3 linked regions of the Caenorhabditis elegans genome follow. The protein of the gene in region 3 purifies or fractionates together with the protein of the main gene of each other region. This does not show direct contact. Each region holds a gene or a part of one and is shown on either strand. Other genes may lie near its edges.

Region 1 (6,620 bases), on a different chromosome or scaffold from region 3:
GTGAGTATTTTGGCACACAAAAAAAGCGACGGGGCCTAGAAAAATCGGAAACTCGGCCAGCTATTGATATTCCGCAAGAGTGCACAAATTTGTTTAATTTCTAAAGTTTTCCGGAGCAAACCAAAAAAATTAGAAAATTAAATATTTTTTGTTTCCGTTTGCACGGATTTCTGGCTTCCTTCATAAAAATGGAAGAGTTTGCCGAACTAGGCCATTTTGGCTCGGTCATATCTGGGGTAGATTTACGGCGCGTTGCGTGTCGCGTCGCGGCTCGATTTTAGTTGTAAGACTAAATATATTTGTCCGTGTGGAGTACACGACTTTCCCACGCGTTGTCCGTCTGGCGATTTTCAATGGAGCGCAAAAAATTCAATGAGGAAGACCAGAACCCCGGGATTAGCCTGGAAAATGTTCTCCTCGAGGAGTACACGAGCTGCGTAAATCGACACATATATCTATAGATGCGTTTTTTTTTGATTTTTGACTCAAAAAGGTAAAAACCGAAAATTTAGAAAGAAGTGTGCGCCTTTAAAAAGTACAGTAGTCTCGAAATCTTGCACTTTTCCTATTTTCAGATGTTTTTTGTATTACTTGAATACAATTTTTTCTGAAAATGTGTATTTCGCAACATATTTGACGCGCAAAATATCTCATAGCGAAAATTACAGTAATTCTTTAAATGGATACTGTAGCGCAGGTGTCGATTCACGGGCTCGATTCTATTTTCGTTCATTTTTTCGTATTAATTAAATTTAATTTAAAAAAAAAAAAAAAACGAGCCCGTAAATCGACACCAGCGCTACAGTATCCATTTAAAGAATTACTGTAGTTTTCGCCACGAGATATTTTGAGCTTTAAATATGTTACGCAATACGCAGACTTCTCAAAATTTTGTGTTCCCATAGTATATGACTTTATAATTTTATCAATTTTCACAAAAAAAACTTTAAATTTTTAAAAGAAACAAGAAAAAATTAAAGAAGCCGAAGCTGATTGCGAAATAGCTATACTTTTTAAAGGCGCATGCATCGTTTCATAAAATATAATTTTTTTAAATCGTGTCGAGACCGGTTACCGTACTTTTGCGTCGAAAATTACAACATTTCGCTATTGGATAATAGGACTTGAAAGGCAACCACCTAAAATTTTAGCTAAAATCGGGGGAAAAAAAACGAGATTTTCTGATTTTCCCAGAAAAAATCTCGACTTTAGATCAAAAATATTTTTTTTATTACAAGTTTCAGTTTCAGTCTCCAATGTGGCTCATGGAGGCGTGTGTCAATCCAACAACTGCCGGCTCACGAAAATGGCTAACAGAATTTCTGCCGATGGCTGCTCAGCTTCTTCTCGCCGACCGGCCGGCCTACATAATTGTTCGAAATTCGTGGAATCCCACACCGTTCGACCATTATCCATCGAGACCTGCCACGTCTATTCTGACGACGAGTGCCGGTAACGACAACAGCATCTACGTTTCAACGGATGCAAAGATCTGGACAAGTCAAGAGATCCGAGCCACCGTCGAGGACTGTGACTTTGCATCCGGAAACATGTGGTTCTACATCGGAGCTCCACGAAGTTCCGACGAACTTTTCGAAAATGTAATCGATCCACTGTTGCAGTGGAATCGTGCACCATCTGGCAGTGGTGAACTTATTGGGAGTGCCGAAGACGCGTTGGCACTGCTGCATTGGAATGCTGCAGGAGAAGTCGCCGTGCTTGGAGCTCGAGAGCTGAAGGTATAAAGGATCTTTGACTGCACCACACTTATACATGCTTCATTGCAGAAGTTGGCTAGCCGTCTCGGGATTGTTATCGAGAATGAAGACGCGATGGTTATCGACTGTCTCGAGGAGGACTTCTCTTCCAATGCCGCCACCGCCACATCCTCGGACGAACCAGAGGTGCCACGTAGAATTCCGATATTCGATATGTTCTGGGTCGGCATCGCGTTAATTATCCTCCAATTGTTGTACTTGTTATCGAAATTCGACTTTTTCCGGGAATGGTTCGCCTAAAGATAATTGATAAATAAAAACTAAAACAGAAGCACAATAAAATTCACATTTAAGTTTATGGATAGGGCTTAGACAAAAAAAAGAGGGAAGCAAATATATAAAACTCTTTTTGAAGGGGGTGATTTGGGTGGTGGATAGGGGGAAAGGATATTTTTTCACAACACAAATTATCTATTTTCGCGGAGAAAAAGCGTAAAATCGTGGGGATGTACATTCACACAGACACACACATTCAAAAAAGAAAATAATTTAGGTTACGACGTGAATTTGGGGGTGGGTGAAGGAATTTTTTATAAGGGGAGAGAAAAGACAGCAGAAGAAAAAGAAGTGAAAATCAAAAAAAAATTACATTAGATAAAATTTAGAGTGATAGGAAGAGGGGTTGCATTAGAAAATTTTCAGTGGAAAGAAACAAAAAAATACGACTAAGAGCTTGATGGTGAAAGAGTGCCGAAGAGGGGGGTATCACAGAGATTATCGTTTCGATTAACAACATCCACCGCTCTTCTTGTCTTGAACCGGTTGACTTCCCGTGATACGCACACCTGGAGCACCTCCGGCTCCTTGAACTGGTCCCATACGTGATTTGATTTCCGAAGCCATGGTAAGGAAGGCCTGAAATGTGATTTTATTTTTTTAAAAATCATTTTTAGCCCAACAAACCTGTTCAACATTCGTCGATGACTTGGCGGATGTCTCGAGGAACGGGATTCCGAGTTGTCCAGCATAATCCTGGGCAGCTTGAGTCTCCACAGCTCTCTTCGCTGTCAAATCGCATTTGTTTCCGACCAACAGCTTGTTGACGTTCTCACATGCGTACCTATCGATTTCCTGAAGCCACTGCTTCACGTTGTTGAATGTCTCCTGAAAAATGCTCATAATATTTATTGTTATAAGCTTTTTAGGAAAATAAACTAACTTGGTCAGTGATATCGTAGACAACGATAATTCCGTGAGCTCCGCGGTAGTAGCTCGATGTAATTGTGCGGAAACGTTCCTGACCAGCAGTGTCCCACTGAAAAATAACTGTTTTAAAACGAATTCGCCATTTTATTTGGTTAAACTCACGATTTGAAGCTTGATAGTTTTGCCGTCGAGCTCAATAGTACGGATTTTCTGAAAATTACAAAATCATAATAAATAATTTCGACGGAAATACTGAAAACTTACAAAGTCAACTCCGATAGTGGAGATGTATGATTCAGTGTATGTGTCATCGGCGAAACGCAGCAACAGGCACGATTTTCCGACGCCAGAATCTCCGATGAGGAGGAGTTTGAAGAGGTAGTCGCTGAAATTGGGAAAAAAATTGTTAGAAACCGAATATTCTTCTGCCGCAAACTCACTATTCAGGGTTCATTGCTGCCATCTCCTTTTTGTCGATCTGATAAATTGGAACCCCCTGAAAAATTATAAATTGCGAATTGAATAAAGCATGAGGAATCGATGCGAGAATGAGGAAAATGAGTGTCAAAAAGGATTGCGAAAGTAAAGATGAGAACGGTGACAAATCATATGACAAATCGGTCAGCAACAGGAGACAACGTGTATAATTTATTGATCGCGGTGCGGTTTGTAAACAAAAGAGAAAGCAACGAGAGAAAACCGGTTTTATCCAGACGAACAGTGCAAGAAAACCTGACTCTTTTATCAGTAAAAGAATTTTTCCTGAAAGGAAAAATTCTAAAATTCCACCGGATCAGTTTACAGACTCCAAAGCTAGAAAATATTTCGCAAGACTTTTTTATCGATAAAAATTACTTTTTCGGCATAATTTCGACTCTGATCACGCCAATAGGCAGATATTAACATCAGAAACACAATAAAGAACGTCTGGAAGCTTTTAAAAAGTCGAAAAATGGATAAAATTAGCCAGGAAAAGCTGTGGAATCGGGAGAAATGACGTGGCGAGGCAGAGAGATGAATACCCCGTGACTGCGGAGCGGCTGCGGCGCAACGCGTGCGATGGGGCGCACATGCATTATTGAAATAAAAACATGTTTTTATTGAATTTATTTGATCGAAAATACATACCTATAAATATATAAATAATATATAATATAAATATATAAATAATACGAATTTTATCTAATTTTCTGAATATCTGAAAGCATAAAAAGAACTTCACTATTTGAAGATCCTTTCCAATCTAGGAAATAATCAGATTAATCTATTGATTTTGCAGATTTTTTCCACAGAAGCTACATATGGGAGTGAATTCTTCACAAGTTGCACAAGATAGATTAAGGTGCGTAGTAAAAAATAAAAATAATTTATGGAAATTTTAAACTTTTAGTCTCACTTCTACCAGTCAAAACTCCCCGAGAAACGGTTTGCGGAGCGCTCGAAATGTGTTGAGAGCAACTTCGCGACTCAAGTTTTCGTTCAAAGTAAGTTTTAAGCACTCTGAAAATATCAAAAACGGATTTTAAAATCCGAAAATACGATATCCGGTCTCGACACGACAAACTTTTGTTAAATGCAAATTAAGTGTGTGCGTGCGCCTTTAAATCCAACTGTAAAAACTTCAAACTTTCGTTTTTTTCCATCAATTATATATTACGGGAACACAAAATTATGAGAATGCGTATTGTGCAACATATTTGACGCGCAAAATATCTCGCAGCGAAAACTACAGTAATTCTTTAAATGGATTGTGTAGCGCTGGTGTCGATTTACAGAAATCATTAATTAATCGATAAAATATTAAAAAAAAACACAAAAATGACAAAAAAAAATCATTGAAGTTGAAAAAAAATCGTTTTTAATTTTTAAAACTGTAGTTTTCGCTACGAGATATTTTGCGCGTCAAATATATATTGTGTAATGCGCATTTTTAGAATTTCGTGGTCTCGTAGCGAAAATTACAGTAATGACTTGTGTCGATTTACGGGAGCGATGTTTGAAATTAATTTCTTCTAGTGACAGCGAAATTATTTTCCAATTTTTTGCTTAATTTCGAAATTCATTTCAAAAATCGAGATCCCGTAAATCGACACAAGCGCTAGAGTAGTCATTTAAAGGATTACTGTAGTTTTCGCTACGAGATATTTTGCGCGTCAAATATGTTGTTTCGTTCCCATAATGTATAGTTTGAAGTTACAGTACTAGTTAAAGGCGCACACATTATCGCATTTGGCAAAATATTTGTCGTGTCGAGACCGTCCAACTTCCGCGTCACCAGGAGTACTGGCTTTCCTCATTTAATTTTTTGCGCTCCATTGACAATCGTCCGCCGGACAACGCGTGGAAAAGTGTTGTGTACTCCACACAACGAAAATCGAGCCGCGACGCGACACGCAACGCGCCGTAAATCTACCCAAGATATGGACGAGCCAAAATGGCCTAGTTCGGCGCAAACTCTTCCATTTCAATTTTTAAGTTAAGCCAGAACCGCGTGGCGTCGGGATAAATAAATTAAATAATAAACGACAAATCTTTTGCAGAGAAAATCTTCCACTCGAGACCAAATCCGACCGTTCGAGGAACTCATCAAAAGTTGGCCAGTTCAAGATCTCAACCTTCTTCTAGCAGAATTTGAAGCCGATTCGAAGCTACTCGAGTTTCAGCGACTATGTGATAATTCAAGAAAACCGACAAATTCTTTCCTCAGAGACTTCGAGAGCGGGAGAACCGTGTCAGGAAATCTGAATATCTTATTCAAATTCACCTCAATTCGCGCTAACCGCGCATTCGTTTCTCAAAGATGTACAAATCTCAAAATCTCGGCAAACTACGATGAGAACCCGGAAAACTTTGATTTGTGCGAGCAAAAATTTTTGAAATTCGAACAAGACGCGGTCGAGATATTCTTGAAATCGTACATTTATAACGAACAATGGCCGGAAAACTTGGGAAGTGAGATGCTCGAACAACTGTGCACAGATTTTGGATGTTTTAAGAAACTTGAAGAAGATGTGAAGCATATGTACAAGCAGGATCTGAAGCATGGCGACTTGATAATTGAAGTTGTCGACGGAAGTGAGTAGAATAGTTTTTTAGTTTCTTAGCCTTGGGCTTAGGCTTAGGCTTATCAATAGGCTTAAGCACGGGACTATGTTTAGGTTTAGGCTTAGGCTTAGGATTAGGCCCAGGCTCAGGCTTAGGCTTAGGTATAGGCTTAGGCTTAAACTTAGGCGTATGCTTATGCTAAGGAGAAGGCTCAGAACTCAAAGACTTAGGCTTAGGCTTAGGCCTAGGGCCAGGCTTAGGCTTAGGACTAGGGCCGGGCTTAGGCTTATGCTTACAACTAGGCTCAGGCTCAGGCTCAGGCTTTGGCTTTGGCTTAGAGTTAGGCACAGGCGTAGGCTTAGGCTTAGCTTTAGGCTTAGGCTCAGGGTTAAGCTGGGAATAAAAAAGAAAAAAGAAACTCAGAAAATTCAAGAACTCAGGAAAATTTAAAAAAATCTGAAAAATGAGACATTCCAAGATCGGGCAAAATACCATTAAAAAATTCGATAAAAAGTGCCAAAAAAAGCAATAGGTTCGAAAAAAAAGAACAAAAAAGCTAATTACTTTACAAAAAATCTAAATGCAATTATTTCAGAAAACACCGAAGAAAACAGCGAGAGCTTCAAAATTCGATGCTCTTCTCTAATCGCT
Region 2 (7,351 bases), 920 kb from region 3:
GAAAAACCAAATTTATAAATTAATTTAAAAACACTGTTTCCACAACTCTTTCCACGCTGTTTTTTCAGTTAATTCGACACAGACTCTTTTATTAAAAATTATTTGACTTTATTAACGTAAAGTTATCATTTTCCGATGGTTCGCATAAAAATTAATCGAAAAAGTTAGTTTTTCTTCTATTTCGCTGTGTACAATTCATACTTATTTACAGCTCTCTTTATTTTATTCATTGCTTATATGCAACTACTCGTATTTCTTGCACTTTATCTGAATCTAGCTGGACCAGCAGAACTTCTCAATCCTAGAAGACAGAAATTTTTTGGAACAAACTCGGCAAATCGACAAAATTCGAATGAAACATATGGCACACCAAAGGCAACCAAGTTGAAAAGAGCGCCGCCAGTTTTTCAAGGTTTTTTTTTGATTTCATGAATTCTATTTTTAAGTTTAAAAATCCTAGTTTTTCAGGTCCTACGAATGAAAGACAAAAAGCCATTGTACGAGCATTCCAGCATGCTTGGTCTGGATATAAAAAGTATGCATGGGGTCATGATGAACTTCGCCCAGTTTCAAAGCGATTTGACGATTCTTTTGGGCTTGGACTTACCATTATAGATAGTTTAGATACTGCGATAATAATGGGATTGGAAGAAGGTATTTTGAAATTTTATAATTGAATTTAAAAAAAATTAATTTCCAGAAACTCGCGATGGTGTTGAATGGATTCGGGAAAATCTGAACGTGTCTCCAGCCAGAAGCGTTAATGTATTCGAGACCACAATTCGAGTTCTCGGTGGACTGTTGAGTGGGTATCATCTGACAGGAGAAGAAGTAAGACGAAAATCTGTATATAAAACAAAAAAACTAATTAAAATTATTTCAGGCGCTCCTTGAAAAAGCTACTCAGCTTGGAGATAATTTGATCAAAGCCTTCACTAAATCGTCTTCACTAATACCAAAAAGTGATGTAAACCTAGATAACGGGAATGCTTGCAGTCCAAATCGCGATCTTTCTTCTTTAGCTGAAGCCACCACTTTACAATTGGAATTCAGAGACTTGACAGCCTTGACCGGTGATCAAAAGTATGAAGATGTGGCGTTCGGAGCATCGGAGCATGTTCACAATGTTGGATGTAAAAAGATGGATGGACTGTGCCCATTTTACATTGACGGAAAAGGAGAATTCAAAAAATCAAGTTTGTTTGAATATCAACTAATTTAACAAAATTCTTCTTCTTTTTAGGTATTACTCTTGGAGCTCGTGCTGACAGCTACTACGAATATCTTATCAAGCAATGGCTTCAAACCAAAAAATCAATTGATTGGCTGCGTGACGACTTCATTCAATCCATTGCCGCCATGAAAAAGCATCTCTATAGACAATCTCAGCCGAATAGCATCTGGTTTCTCGGTGAAATAACCGAATTGGCACAGTTCTATCCAAAAATGGATCACCTTGTCTGTTTCCTTTCCGGATCTCTTGTACTTTCCCATTTAAATGGTCTTGATCATGACAATGAACATTTGGAAATGGCTAAAAATATTGGAAATGTTTGTCATAAAATGTATGAAAATCCAACAGGACTTGGACCAGAAATAATACATTTCAATATGGAGGATAGTTCTGATATGACACAAGCGGATACTTATGTGAAGAATCTTGATGCTCATTCACTTCTCCGTCCAGAAGCAATTGAAGCGTGGTTCTATTTGTATCGTGTTACTAAAGATAAGAAATATCAAGAGTGGGGATGGAAAGCTTTTGAGTCGATTGAAAAGTATGCAAAAGTGGAAACTGGTGGATACAGCTCAATTGACAATGTGCTCAGAAAGAAGATCAAAAGGTTTGTCAGCATTTTGTTTAATTTTTAATCATTCAAATTCAGACGTGACAAAATGGAATCATTCTTCCTTGCTGAGACCCTCAAATACCTTTACCTTCTAATGGCTGATGATCAAGAAATCCTTCCACTCGATCGATGGGTTCTCAACACTGAAGCCCACCCACTTCCAATTTACAATTGACTGATGCTGTATTTTTCACTTTTTGACGGGTTTTTAGAATTTATTTTTACCAAAAACAAAACGTTTGTCTAACAAATAAACTATAACACATGTATCTATTGCATTCTGATCAATCTTCCATGAATTTCTTCATTAACTGGCCAATACTGCGTCTTTCCAACAACTGCTGCAGAGACCTGTCCTTCAAGGAATACACGTCGGCAAACATCTCGGAGCTGCTGGACTGTGATTGATTCGATTCGGGCATGTAATTCTGGAGTTGGTATCCGACGACCGTAGCAAAGGAGTTGTCGACCAATATCTTCACAGACTGGAGTTGAGCCATCGAGCATTAGGAGTAGATTCGTATGCAGGGAGCGCTTGGCACGATCAACCGCTGCTTCATCAATGTCTGGAAATGAAAGATGTTGACTCAGGACTATGTTAAATAAAAACTCACTGTTCGCAAGCCAAACCCATTGTTGAAGAACTGAATCAATAAGATTGTCGATGGATTCCGGAGCAGCTACGAAATAAGTTCCAACTAATCCTGTCTCCTGAATTACAGAAATATGTAAAAAGAGTTTTTTTTCCCAGGAATTCATTACTTTATAGCACGTGTTAAATGATTGGAAAACCTCAATTCCTGCGTCTTGTGACAATTTTTCAGCCAAGCGAGTTGGAGCATTCACGCCGAATCCACGCATACGATCGTATTCACCCATTAGCTGGAATGATGAACTATCAACTTCTAAGTTATAAAAATATTTTTTAAAAAAGTACCGTATTAGCCACCATAAGGGCAAGATTATCTTCATGGGTCCAAGATACTCCTTCGACAACCATCGCTCCGTACAACATTGGAAGATCTGGAATGTCACCTCGAACCTGAAATGTAAACATTTAAAAATATATTTTGTTAATTCTATTTAATATTTGCTGATAGCGAATTTATTCAAACAAAAACTGACTTCACAGGGACTGTAAGTGGCTGGGACGAATTCAGTTGAAGAATCTCCATGCTTGAGCTCTCCGAAATATTTTTCTGCCATTTTAACAATCGCATCATGATTGACACCTCCGGCTGCTGCTAATACCATTCTGCCACTTCGATAATGTGTATTAATATATCCTTGAAGATCATTCTTATTGATTGTTTGAATTAATTCAATTGGACCAAGAATTGTATAGGAAAGAGGATTTCCTTTGAAAACATCAGCATGAAGAATATCAAATACAACTTCTTGAAAGTTTTGTGCAACTTCTTCCATTTCTCGAATAATTACACCACGTTCTGCTTCGATATCTTTAGTGGCAAGACTGCTGTTCAGAAGAATATCCGAAAGAATATCGACGGCTGCAATTCGGAATAGATATTTTAAAAATTGCATTAATAATTTTATTTCTTACATTGGTCAAGCTTTTCTGTAAAACATTTAGCATAATACGTCGTGCTTTCTCTAGAAGTGTACGCATTTAGATGAGCTCCAATATTTTCAACTTCAAGCTCCAATCCCATTCGAGTCCGGCGAGGCGTTCCCTGAAAAATTCGGATTTTTATATGAAATTCAAAATTTTCTAAAAATTAAATTAAACTAACTTTGAACGCCATATGCTCTAGAAAATGAGCTGTTCCATTGTTTTTCTCATTCTCGTAGCGACTGCCGGCATCAATAAATACTCCGATCTAATAAAAATAGCTTTGAACAAACAAATAATTTAGGAAAAATAATTACAGTAGCAGTAGATCCACCTGTGTTTTCTGTTGCAACTCTGAACCCATTCGGAAGTGTCGTTACAATTGTTTCTGGGACAAATACTGATTTCGGCTGAACTTGTGCGATTCTTCTTTGGGAAGTCTGAAAAATAAATTACTTTCACTGTAAACAAAATTGTTTAAATTACCTGATATAAGCCGGAGGCTAGTCTTCTGTACATTTATCTGAAAAAAATTTATATGCTCTATTTTCAAGGAAACAATGGTTACGCAATAGTGAAGCTCAATTTGTCGGCTAAACACAAACAAATCTACGTAATACTGGAATAAAAATCTTTTTGCTGACATTGATACAACAAAACGATTAGAGTAACGAATTAAACAAAAATTGAACAGAATTGCAGAAAATGCTTCTAAAAAAGTGAAATTAACTTTGTCCACGAGGTGTACGTAGCGAATGGAAGAACTTTCACAAACGCGGCCGCCGCGGGCAAAAAGGCGGAAGTTTGAATAAAAGATTTTGAACAATTGCACGCGGTATTTCATAACTTCGGAATTTCCAATTAATTTTTCAGATTATGCAGACATATAAAATTTCGAACCAAATAAAAAACATCAAGGGGCTCTCGTTTAGAGCTTGTATTTTTGGAAAACGATGTCCAGGGAAACGGTAATTTTGGAAATGTCCTTTCGGGGATTATTTATAATCGCGCACAAACAGGAGTGGGTATCTAGCGATCCTTATTCATGATTACAAGAGAACAAAAGAGCATATCGTGTTTTTTTAATATCTAGAGCCAAATGTTCATAATAAGTTCTGATCATTTCATAATGAATCAATTTCTAGAAATTAAAAAAAAAAACGATATAATCTGAAAACTCTTACTACCACAGTACAACTACAGTAACCCAACAGTATCTCTCCATGAACTCCAACTCAGTATCCCATCAAAAGAAAACAACTGAAATTTACTAGAACTACTTGAGAACAAACTAAAACTGTGACCTATGCATTTTTAAAAAATATTCATACATTTGTTCATATCTAGAATATATGTACTATGAAAATTAATTTTTAATTCGTATGTAGTAAAAAATCATTAGTAAAGGATACAATCCTTGTCATTGTAGTAAAAATGTCCACCGTAACAAAAGATACAAACTGTAGCAAAAGATCGAAATGGGATAACGGAGTAAAAAATACGGTTGTAGCAAAAGAGTAAAACGTCGTAAAAGATCTATGTATGCAAATCATAGTAAAAGAGATCACGTAGTAAGAGATCAAGTAGTAAAACAGTATTTGCCCTTGTTTTATTGACGATCATGATAAAACAATAAAATTTGAACATAATAAAACACTTTCACACAAATATTTAGCTAGTATTGAAAATTAAGCATTTCATGAAGCATTGAATCACAGTTGAGAACATTGAAAACTGTGAGCATCACGTAAGAAGTTGTGAGTTTTTGAGCAGATTCCTGTAATATCCTTTGTTTGCTGGATAGCTGTTATACAAAAATAAACAAACCCTGAGATAATTCATACTCATCAGAAGTTCTCCAACACGATGCTCTCCGCCTCCACCTGGTGAATGACACATTTTTGATAGAAAGCCAATTATGATATTCCTTTGTCTACGACATTTTTCACGGCCATTTTCAGTTAGCTTGAAGTATGCTGAAATTATTGAAGGATTAATTTGAAAGTTGAATACATTTTTTTAAAAAGATTATGAACTTATGTATATCGTATTTGAATTTTTATTTAAAACAAATCTAAATGTGTTAATCACTTTGGCAGAGTCACTCCTCCGTGTAGACACAAAAATATCTGTCTGATATGCCACCTTCACCTGCCTACTGCCAAAATATGAGTTTATTTTACGAGAAAATGATGAATTTAAAAATTAACACTAAATAAACACCCGCCTGGAAAAAAAGTGGTAAGAGTTTCAAACACAAGTTAAGCTATCTCTGAAACGTGAAAAAATAACTCACTAGCTTGCCATACTGTAAGTGCCTTCAACAAACAAAATTCTTCAAAAGTGACATTCAGTTTGGAAAATGGGACGATGCTTTCTTCCCAAATGGCGATGTGCATTGGCATTAGAGCTCTGAAATTATATGCAATTATTGTAATTGTTGTAGCAGAACAGTTACCTATACTTTGAAAAGTCCTCATCGCAATCAAAATATCGTCTGGCATCAATTTCATTTCCGGACATTGGTAAAGGATCCATATTCAGATATTCACCATTTGTCAATACCATTTGACGATGTGCTTGACCGAGTCTGAAATCATTTTATTTTCATTTTAGTCATTTCTAAAAAAAACTTACTTTGCCGTGTAATATGCGGAAGACAATATAAAATCAACAGCAACAATTTGCCGATAGAACATATTCTGCAGAAAATAATAATTTGAGAAGCCTAATTGCGTAGTATTAACTCACTTTCTCATGACTCGTAAAACTATTAAACTCTGGAAATCGTGTTGCGTAGTCAAAAAGCATTACAAAATCATGTCTGAGCATTCCACGAAAATTTCGGTAATCGTGTGGGCGTAGATCATTGACTGTGAACGGCTGAAAATAATGAGAAATGCTGAGAATTTTCACAAACTGATTCGCCATTAAATAATAATTTCATAGAAGTGTAACTATAAATTAAAAATATGATCATGAAAACTTACACATTGCAAATTTGCATGAGTATCCAGAATGAAGTCCATACCAGTATTTGTGTACATTATTCTTCTTTTCGAGCATAATCCAGTTTCCATTGAATGATAGTATTGTAAAATTGAATTGTTTTCAATTGAATATAACATTCCAGGTGGAGATGGATGGGTGGCTGCTGATGATGATGGATAAGATGAACAGTATCCCCCATCAAATGACGATGTTCGTGAAGATTCTTCTGGCTGAAAATCAGTTTCAATTACACTCTGGAATCTAAAGGAAACATCAATCTTTCATAATGCTTGAAAAAACGGAAGTCAAGTTATTCTTAGACACTCAAAACCAATTATAATTTTAGCACATTTATCCTGAAATCAGTGTCTAAAGAGTAGAAAAATATGTCCTTGCAAAAAGTATTCTGTCACTGCAAATAAAAATGTAGAATTCACATTTGAAAAATTGCAGTGATTTAGAGATCTACATATAGATCCTTCAAGAGTAGAAAAGCGTCATTTAAAGTCTGAGAGTATATTTTCTTTTTAAATATCTTATGAACAATTGCAGTCCGTCTTTAAAAATTATTACCCTATCGTAAGTGCAAAAAGGCCCCGTTTACAATACCCATTTTCCGTCAGGCTTCTCCTTCCACCGTCTCATTCCCTCTTAATTTCCCAACATCATTCAAGACAATTTTATTTGCAAAACCGGTCCATCCGCTTTATCTACAGTACTCTTAGCCTGCAATCAAGCCACCAAAAAGCATGGAAAAACTTCAAAGATCAAATCAACATACAAACAAAGTTAAGGGGTTTTCCCAAAAAGGGCGAATATCAAAAGATGAGTTAGTCTACTGGTCTGTGTAAGAGAACATCATCTAATTGCATTACTCATTGAGAGACGGGTCAAAGTACAAAGTATGCATGTTCTCTTCCTCTCTCTGACCATAAAC
Region 3 (7,757 bases):
GTGGAACACAGGGAAATTACAAGAGAAACTACAAAAACTGAATGACTTCGTTGCGAAATTGAAAAGAGCGAGGAAGAATAAAGAGAGAGACGCAGGCAAAGAAACAACTTGACTGTCAAACCGCCCGTTAGTGTCCTTTCGTAATCCGAACCTAACTAGGAAGACGAAGAAAAAAGATTCGTCCGAACTTTCTATAAACGAACACATCGATCAACAAAGCGCGAATCACATTCTAGAACATTATTGATTGCAATCGTTGGCCTAATAACTTGTGAAGTTGGAAAACTCTACGAAACTGATAACGCTTAGGAAAAAAACTGCGTTGAATACAGAAAGTCGACTAACCATTCAATTTTCACAACAAAAAGTGAGCAAGAGCGGGAACGGAAATATGATGACTAACAGAGACGCAGAGAAATAGAGAAAACATGGGATTGACAACAAATAAATAGAACTACGAATGAAAATACACTTTTCAGGGTTTCACTGGCCGAAACTAAAACGTAAATTGTTATTATGTATCGGGACAATTTTACCACCTCAGTTCATCTAATGAAAAAGTCATCAATTTATAACCTCATTCTCTAAAATATTTTACCTGATTACAAAAGTAGACGCCTAAAACATCAATTTCAAACAATTCCAGAATATTCTTAAAACTTACCTTTTTGGGCATATGCCAACCCGGATCATACTTCCTGATATATTCCATATACATAATGAAACAAGGACTAAATTAAAATAGAGAATATACGAGTAAGCATTAAGGATATGTATTTTCTATCCGTCAACAAAATCCCAACTATTATTATTCATTGTCGGCTACGAAGCAGTGTATCAGCGCCAGCTTCTGCGTGGTTGCCACGGCAACTTTCCCTCTAATTTTCTGGGCGAACGAAGATTAAATATAAAAGAAAGCGAACGGAGAATGCGTTTATTCTTGTGATTTGGTAGAAAAATCAGTTCTCATTTTGAATGGGGTTTTCACCTGCTGTTTCGACTAAAAAATCAGAGTGAAATTCGGCGAACACTCATTATCTTTTTGTTGAAATAGCAAAACAACGGAAAGAAACGAGGATTCTTAAATTAATTGAATCTCTGAGAGCTTTCTTTTCAAGCTTCTTATGAATTAAAAATTGTTAATTCAGATTTTTTAAAAATAGTTTTCCATTTCAACTTACATTGACCCCAGAAAGTGTTTGCTGCTTTGGCGCTCCGACGATCGTTCCGTTTCCTACGACTGTTGGTTCTTCTTCGTCGTCAGTCTTGGATCGTTTCGCCGGAGGATATTCGTTTTCTCCTTCACGCTGCAGCTTGTTATTGGTGGCCTTGTTGTTAGTTTTGTTGGCCGATGTTAGCTCAAGGATGGTAGTCATTAATCACGAAAGATCAGAACCACTGAAAATAGTTTTTAATTGATGAAAACTGATGCAGTTCGAATAATGGTGGCTTAAAAGAGAAGAATCTGATGATGAGCTTTCGGCGAGAATTGAGATTGAAAAGCGAATGATTTTTAACCACTGCACGTTTCGAAAAAATGCGAAACAAACTGTTTGTGGAAGATTCTAGAAGGATGAAATTATTGATTTTCATTTGAAAAAAGTGGCGCGCTTGCGAAATGAAGAAAAAGGAACATAAGTGGAAAATGGCGCCAAGTTTCTCATAGAAATATTAGCAGTAAAATAGAGCGCTTTTGCATTTTTCTTCTTTGACATAAAAACATCGCTATCGTCGTCTCGTAGTGTTTGTGTTCCTTTTTTGCGAAAGAAATTTCTCGATATTTCTAATGTATTTTTAAAAGTTCGTTCGTATATGTTTGAAATCAGCATTTTCAAAATTTAAATTGTTTCTTCTGTTTATCGAGTTCGTGCTGACTCTGCTCACTGCTTTTTCCAAAGGAACTTTGAATTTAAAAGATCTGTTTGGATTTGACAAATAATTCACGTATGGTGGTAAACCAAAAAGAAAACATCACATACATAAACAGAGAAGATCCCCAATTCAATTTTTAAAAGTTTTTCGAATAATGAAAAAAACAATATAAAATTAAAGGAATCAAATAATCAAATACGTTGGAACAAAACAAGAGAATGAGGGAGTCAGTATAATTTCAGGGAGCGACAGTGCAATAAATTTAAAGTTTTGAAGATGCTTCACGGCTTCCAGGGCGTACTAGTCATCCTTGCACAAAATGCCACTTATCAACATCTCCTGGTAGTGGAGCATTTGCTCCATGTTCTGGGGTAGCGCCAATGGCAGTTGCGGCCGCTTCATCAGTTCCTTGGTGAACAGCTTCTGGAACCCGAGAGACTCTGAAATTTGAAGTTTAGAATATTAAAAGCGATGAAATCCCTACGTGTTCAAGGATGGGTTTGCTTCCTTGATGAGAGTCTTCCAATATTCGTTGGTCTCATCGATGACTTTCTCCGCGTATTCTCGGTTCTTGAACTCTCCATTAAAAGCGAACTCGTTGGCTGGTTTTCCTGCTGGAATCTTGTAATTGCGGAACCATTCAACAGATGCCTGAAAGAAAAAAAATGAAACGTATTTTGAAAAATGTTTAATCGAAACTTACAGCCAATAGTCCAGGATAAACCTTTTCGACGTCATCAATGTCATTCAACTTGTCAGCATTCTCATCGTTGACATCAATTGCGACCAATTTCCAATCGGTCTCTCCTTCGTCAATGAGAGCCAATGTTCCGAGAACTTTTACTTGCAGAACAGCTCCCCGTCCGGCAACCTTTGATCCAACTTCAATAACATCAATTGGATCATTGTCTCCTTTAGCTCCAGTGTCAGGAACAACATGGTTTGGATCTTCCCATGTCTGTGGAAGAGCTCCGTAGTTCCAGATGTATCCTTTGTGTGGGAAAATGTTGTGAACAAAGCGAGCTACACCCTTCTTCTCATCTTGCTTGATTGGCGAGAATGGTTCCTTGGTGGCCATTTCCATTTTAGCATTTGTCCAACGTGGAATCTCAACAATCATGTTGTAAACTCTCTTGTCCTTGTTGGCGAACAATGGAATATCGTGCCAAGGAGATACGATTCCTTGTGGTCCCTCTGCAAAATAGATATTAGAACCAATAATTATAGCAGCTTCGACTCACTGATATAAACTCTATAATCCAAACTATAAAGAGATCCACGCTCGACGGCTTCGTAAACTGCTGAATCTCCGGCTCCGGTGCTCATTTTCACAGCTTGACTTTGCAAAATGACAGCAGTCTCCGACAAGGGCCTGAAAAATAATAATAATGCGAATATTGAAAACTACATGTGTTTGCGAGTGGAATTAGATGCTATCATGAAAACACTTCTACACTCATAACAGCCAATTATAAGTATAACAAACTTGTTTGGGTTTCGGAAACAACGACCGCAAAAGAGCCAAGAGAACATTTTTCACAAGGTTTTTGTTAAACTAATCTTTAAACATTTTGCCACTCGAAACTATTAAAACGTGGATTTGCAAAAGTTTTCACGTTAAAAGTTTAAAAAAAAAATACGCCAGAATTTAAAATGCGAATTCAAATAAAGACAATAAAGCAACTTGAAAATAAATTTCCAAACACAAAGTGTCATTTTATAAGCATGTGTACTGGCATCTTTGAAAAGTATGTTACATAATTATAGGCAACATTTCTTTATTCTTTGAGCATTTGGTGACGGACTAGTCTTATCAGCTGACACCGCCCGTTTGCAATGTGAGGTGACGGGGTAAAGTTTAGTACGCCTACACTTCATCTACAAGGGGCTGCTGGACAAACTGAAGTTTTGGAGAAGGGTTAAATATTTTTAAACTACGTTTTTTCTCAATATAAGATCTAGCAGCGATTCGAGCATGACCCAGATTTAGATTAAATAATTGTTTTCTTTTCTTTTCCGCTCTACCAATGGATGTGAGTTATTAGAAAGTGATAGAAAACATCAATAAGGATTATATAAAACGTTATCCTCCCTTAAAAACGACACAGACACAAGAAGGAAGAAACATCAACACGCAACCTCGTGTGCAGACTCCTCTCCGAATTGGCTGACATTTGTCGTTGAGCTCCCGAAGAAGAGGTGGAGACGGCTGTGGTAAGACTGCCACGAGGAGAAGGTAATTGGACAGTTGAGCTGCCGGAATCCATTGAAGTGGTGTGAATCGCAGAAACCTACACATAACCAAAATAAAACTAGAACAATACTCATCAGTCTTGCCTGTGTGACGTTTGTAACTGGACGCGATGTCCTTGAAGTGGCCCATTTCTGTGAAGTATTTGAACTGCTGGTGGATGTTGTTGCAGTGTTTGAAGATGACGAGACAGTGGCGATGGCGCTTTCTTGGCTCACGGCACAGCCCATAATAAGACGAGTTGATAACAAAAATCCTCTCGCCGTGGCCACACTTCGACAGCTCAGTATCATCTAGGAAGAGATGAGGACAACTACAGACATTTGTGAGATATATGCGGAAAACACGAGAGACGCTGTGGCGCATGCACATTTTCAAGCAGTTGGTGATATGTGTGGATTTGGTTATGTCGTCATGATAGAAGCAAGATTAAATTGAAAATTGAAACATAAGGCAGGATAATATCATTCAACGATTATCTAAACCCTGTGGCTCAAAACAATCAGCATAAAAAACTCTCACCTGGGCCCAAAAGAAATCCTAATTTCAGTCATGAAATTTTTGAACATCTCAATATAGATAACATCAACTCAATAGAGGTTTAAAATAAATTTGCACAAGCTAATTTTCTTGTCTAAAAGGCTCTTCGCATGTTTGGTGATAAATGGCTTCTTGTTCAATGGCACGGATAAAAGTTATGGAAGACATGCATTTTCAATTTCCTTATCGCAATAATATGTAGCTTGAAAAACGCAGAAAAAATAAAATTAATCGTTGATGTTCCTAATAAATAACTCCACTCAGTATTGATCAATGTATTTAATCACTCTTAGCAGATAATTTTACAAATACTGAATACATTTTTGAGAATTAATATGTATAAAAAATAACTAAAAATTTGATTAAGATAAAAACAAAACAAGAATAGCATTGCCAGCGCAGCAATTTGTAAAAAATAGGCCTACGAAAATATAGCAGTGTACACACACATCACACCACAAACTACATGAAAATGCAGACGCAACCCTCAGCTACGGTAACAGTGAAATATTTAAGTCTGAACGCATAAAAATAAAATAAAAATCCCAGACAGTTGAGAAAATATGCTAAATATTAATTTGCATTTGAAAACCACCAAATAGGAACAGTCGAATGCAACAAACCTCGTAGCCAAAAATACAGCGACTGTGAAAAGTATAGCAGCCATCATCGCGATCAGCGGCTTGTTTCGTTTGGCGATCAACACGAGGCCCATCAAGAAACGACCATCACTGAAAGATCAATCAAAGAACACTTCTGGGAGGAGAATCTAATATTGAAAACCGCTTGGACTTGTTTTTGCTCTGTGAGCAGTCTTCTCTTATCAATACCTCTCGGTTTCTCCATTCGCCATTGTATTACACTGATTACAAATCACAAACGATGTGTCATAATTGTTGGTAAAACTTAAACTCTTATTGATTTTAGTAGAATGTAAACATATGATTTCATTATTCTATCTTCTTTTGATTTATTTCTAGATCATTGAAATTCATATATTTTAATGCTAACCGGAAAAAAAATATTGCTATCACAGAACTAAAACCACATAAAATATAAGGCAACAAGAAATCAGATATGCAATAGTACAAATAAATTATAACCAATCGTGAAGAACCGAATCAACTCCAATAACTTTGAACAATTCACGCATTTGAGAATGACGAAGTGGTGGGGTTCCAAAAGTGAAGTCTGTGGCAGTTTCGCAAAATGATGAGTTGGTACGTGGCAATGGTTTGAGAGGTGGATCATATTGAGATGGCGGAGTAGGAGGCAGATTGAACAGCGGGGATATTGGAAATATGTGACCCTGAAATTACTTTTCTAATTGTAAGTAAGAATTCCTAGATCAGCAATATTCATACCTCTGTTGAAAAAAGAACACTTTCTTGCTGTTCCTTGTTAATTGGATGATCTACATCGAACAACAAGTATAAATACTTTAATGTTTCTGATAAGAAAAACGATTCCATTCGATCTTCAAGACTTCCATCAATGACATCATGCACAGTTGCGAAGCCACATTTTACTCGAGTAATTGTTTCTAATGAATCAAGAATTTCCAGTCCAACATGCTGATAAAATGGATTTTTCGTAGCAGTGTACAATAGATATGTAGATTCAACAAATTCTGGACGAAGTGGATAAAATGAGACATCAGGAGCTTGTAACTGCCAATTGAATCGTTCGGGTAGAACTCCGTATTTCTTCCAAATTGCATAGTAAAGGGCATGATGGCACACAGCCTCGTCGACTTCACCAGCCAAAACCAGAACTCCTGCGAAACTTGCCTGAAATTGAAAGTTTACTAGAAACAACAATATGTAACTGTCACCTGAAGAGAATCGATCCATGTATTTGAAGTGCTTCCATCTCTTGAATCAACATTTACATAAATTGGAATATCACCTTCAAGACTGGAACACCTAGAACGACCTCGACGCATGTATGTTGTGATACGAGCAAATGATTCATTATACATATCTAAATCTCGTTGATTACCAAAAAGGATGTACGACTTTAGCATATATTCATAGAATGAATCAATTCCAGCACCGAGGCCTGCTAAGTGACCAAGCCATTCTCCAGTTTGAATGTCAATTAAGTTTCCTGAAATTAGATGTATAAAGTTTTGCAACACAATTTTTAATTTTCTCAATACCATGCAATCCAGTGACCTCATTTCTTAAATTCCACAACTTTTCATTAACTCGTCGAGCAAGTCGTTCATAGGTGTCATCTCCAAGCAGCTTTGACAATACACCAAATTCAAGCAATAGACTCCCCGCGCCTGATGTACATGTAGAGTTTGTCGTTCCCGGAAGAATTCCCTTTTGCAAGTTTATACGGGTGTAAGGAATTCCGGTGGCCGTTCCATCGAACGCTGGTAAAAGTCGCCCAGCTAAATCATGGGCAAGTGTTAAAAGTTCTCCACCGTAGTCTGACATATAGAAAGGACCAAATCGATTAGTTTTATCGGCAGCAATCATATGAGCAGCCAGAAGACCACCCATCACTCGAATAGTTGATTCGAATACTTGAACTGTTGTATTCTTTTCAAACGATACTGTTTTAATTACAAGATTAACAGCTCGTTTGAATTCGTCTGCGTCTCCTGAAAATTTACAGATTCAAAATATATGTTTTTTCTAATGTTGGAGTATCGTCAGTAGCTATTTTTGCATTGTGCAGATTCAAGCCCCTAGAATCTTTAAATACTTTTTTTTGGTTTTTTTTTGGTTCGCCACTTTTTGATCATAAATTTAAAAAATTCAGAAAAAAATTAGTTTTAATATGATAGTTGGATATTTTCGAACAAGCGGTTTTTCCCTACTGCAGTTTTAAATTTATGATCAAAAAGTGGCGAACCAAAAAAAAAAAAACAAAAAAAAGTATTTAAAGATTCCAGGGGCTTGAATCTGCACAATGCAAAAATTTTCAACGTTTTGGAACATTTGACAATTACCAAAACTTTGAATTAAATTTTCGAAAAAATCTAAACATTTTGGGTTTGTTATAATCAGACATGTTGGGCTATCATGAGTATTTTTAGACTAAATTTCCACTGACGATACTCCATTTTTTAATTTTGACA

The links. The genes of interacting proteins can lie anywhere in the genome.
Region 1: the proteins of pyp-1 (region 3) and rab-1 fractionate together in Caenorhabditis elegans (co-fractionation; one large-scale study listed by BioGRID). This does not show direct contact.
Region 2: the proteins of pyp-1 (region 3) and mppb-1 fractionate together in Caenorhabditis elegans (co-fractionation; one large-scale study listed by BioGRID). This does not show direct contact.

Annotation. Positions count from the first base shown.
Region 1 is NC_003283.11:1,260,570-1,267,189, forward strand, and holds rab-1 (RAB family), read right to left. Parts: upstream 3,421-6,620; 5' UTR 3,388-3,420; coding exon 3,365-3,387; intron 3,310-3,364; coding exon 3,189-3,309; intron 3,135-3,188; coding exon 3,087-3,134; intron 3,034-3,086; coding exon 2,938-3,033; intron 2,883-2,937; coding exon 2,682-2,882; intron 2,634-2,681; coding exon 2,505-2,633; 3' UTR 2,048-2,504; downstream 1-2,047. Other genes in the region: C39F7.1 (uncharacterized protein), read left to right, coding at 1,245-1,739, 1,788-2,018; C39F7.5 (BACK domain-containing protein), read left to right, coding at 4,226-4,266, 4,315-4,408, 5,465-5,999, 6,565-6,620.
Region 2 is NC_003282.8:9,071,268-9,078,618, reverse strand, and holds mppb-1 (Mitochondrial-processing peptidase subunit beta), read right to left. Parts: upstream 3,947-7,351; 5' UTR 3,943-3,946; coding exon 3,910-3,942; intron 3,864-3,909; coding exon 3,741-3,863; intron 3,692-3,740; coding exon 3,605-3,691; intron 3,545-3,604; coding exon 3,415-3,544; intron 3,362-3,414; coding exon 2,976-3,361; intron 2,893-2,975; coding exon 2,788-2,892; intron 2,733-2,787; coding exon 2,613-2,732; intron 2,562-2,612; coding exon 2,465-2,561; intron 2,417-2,464; coding exon 2,121-2,416; 3' UTR 2,048-2,120; downstream 1-2,047. Other genes in the region: mans-4 (alpha-1,2-Mannosidase), read left to right, coding at 136-163, 212-412, 469-654, 701-831, 884-1,196, 1,244-1,844, 1,887-2,025; Nuclear hormone receptor family member nhr-11, read right to left, coding at 5,099-5,200, 5,251-5,399, 5,720-5,835, 5,882-6,013, 6,061-6,125, 6,175-6,306, 6,414-6,644. UniProt on the Caenorhabditis elegans protein: Catalytic subunit of the essential mitochondrial processing protease (MPP), which cleaves the mitochondrial sequence off newly imported precursors proteins. Preferentially, cleaves after an arginine at position P2.
Region 3 is NC_003282.8:9,993,548-10,001,304, forward strand, and holds pyp-1 (Inorganic pyrophosphatase 1), read right to left. Parts: upstream 4,417-7,757; coding exon 4,210-4,416; intron 4,164-4,209; coding exon 4,012-4,163; intron 3,245-4,011; coding exon 3,114-3,244; intron 3,067-3,113; coding exon 2,576-3,066; intron 2,524-2,575; coding exon 2,357-2,523; intron 2,313-2,356; coding exon 2,177-2,312; 3' UTR 1,838-2,176; downstream 1-1,837. Other genes in the region: uba-1 (E1 ubiquitin-activating enzyme), read right to left, coding at 1,182-1,376; C47E12.3 (alpha-1,2-Mannosidase), read right to left, coding at 5,760-5,972, 6,028-6,453, 6,498-6,772, 6,825-7,277. UniProt on the Caenorhabditis elegans protein: Catalyzes the hydrolysis of inorganic pyrophosphate (PPi) forming two phosphate ions. Plays a role in intestinal development and subsequent normal secretory, digestive and absorption functions. Required for larval development.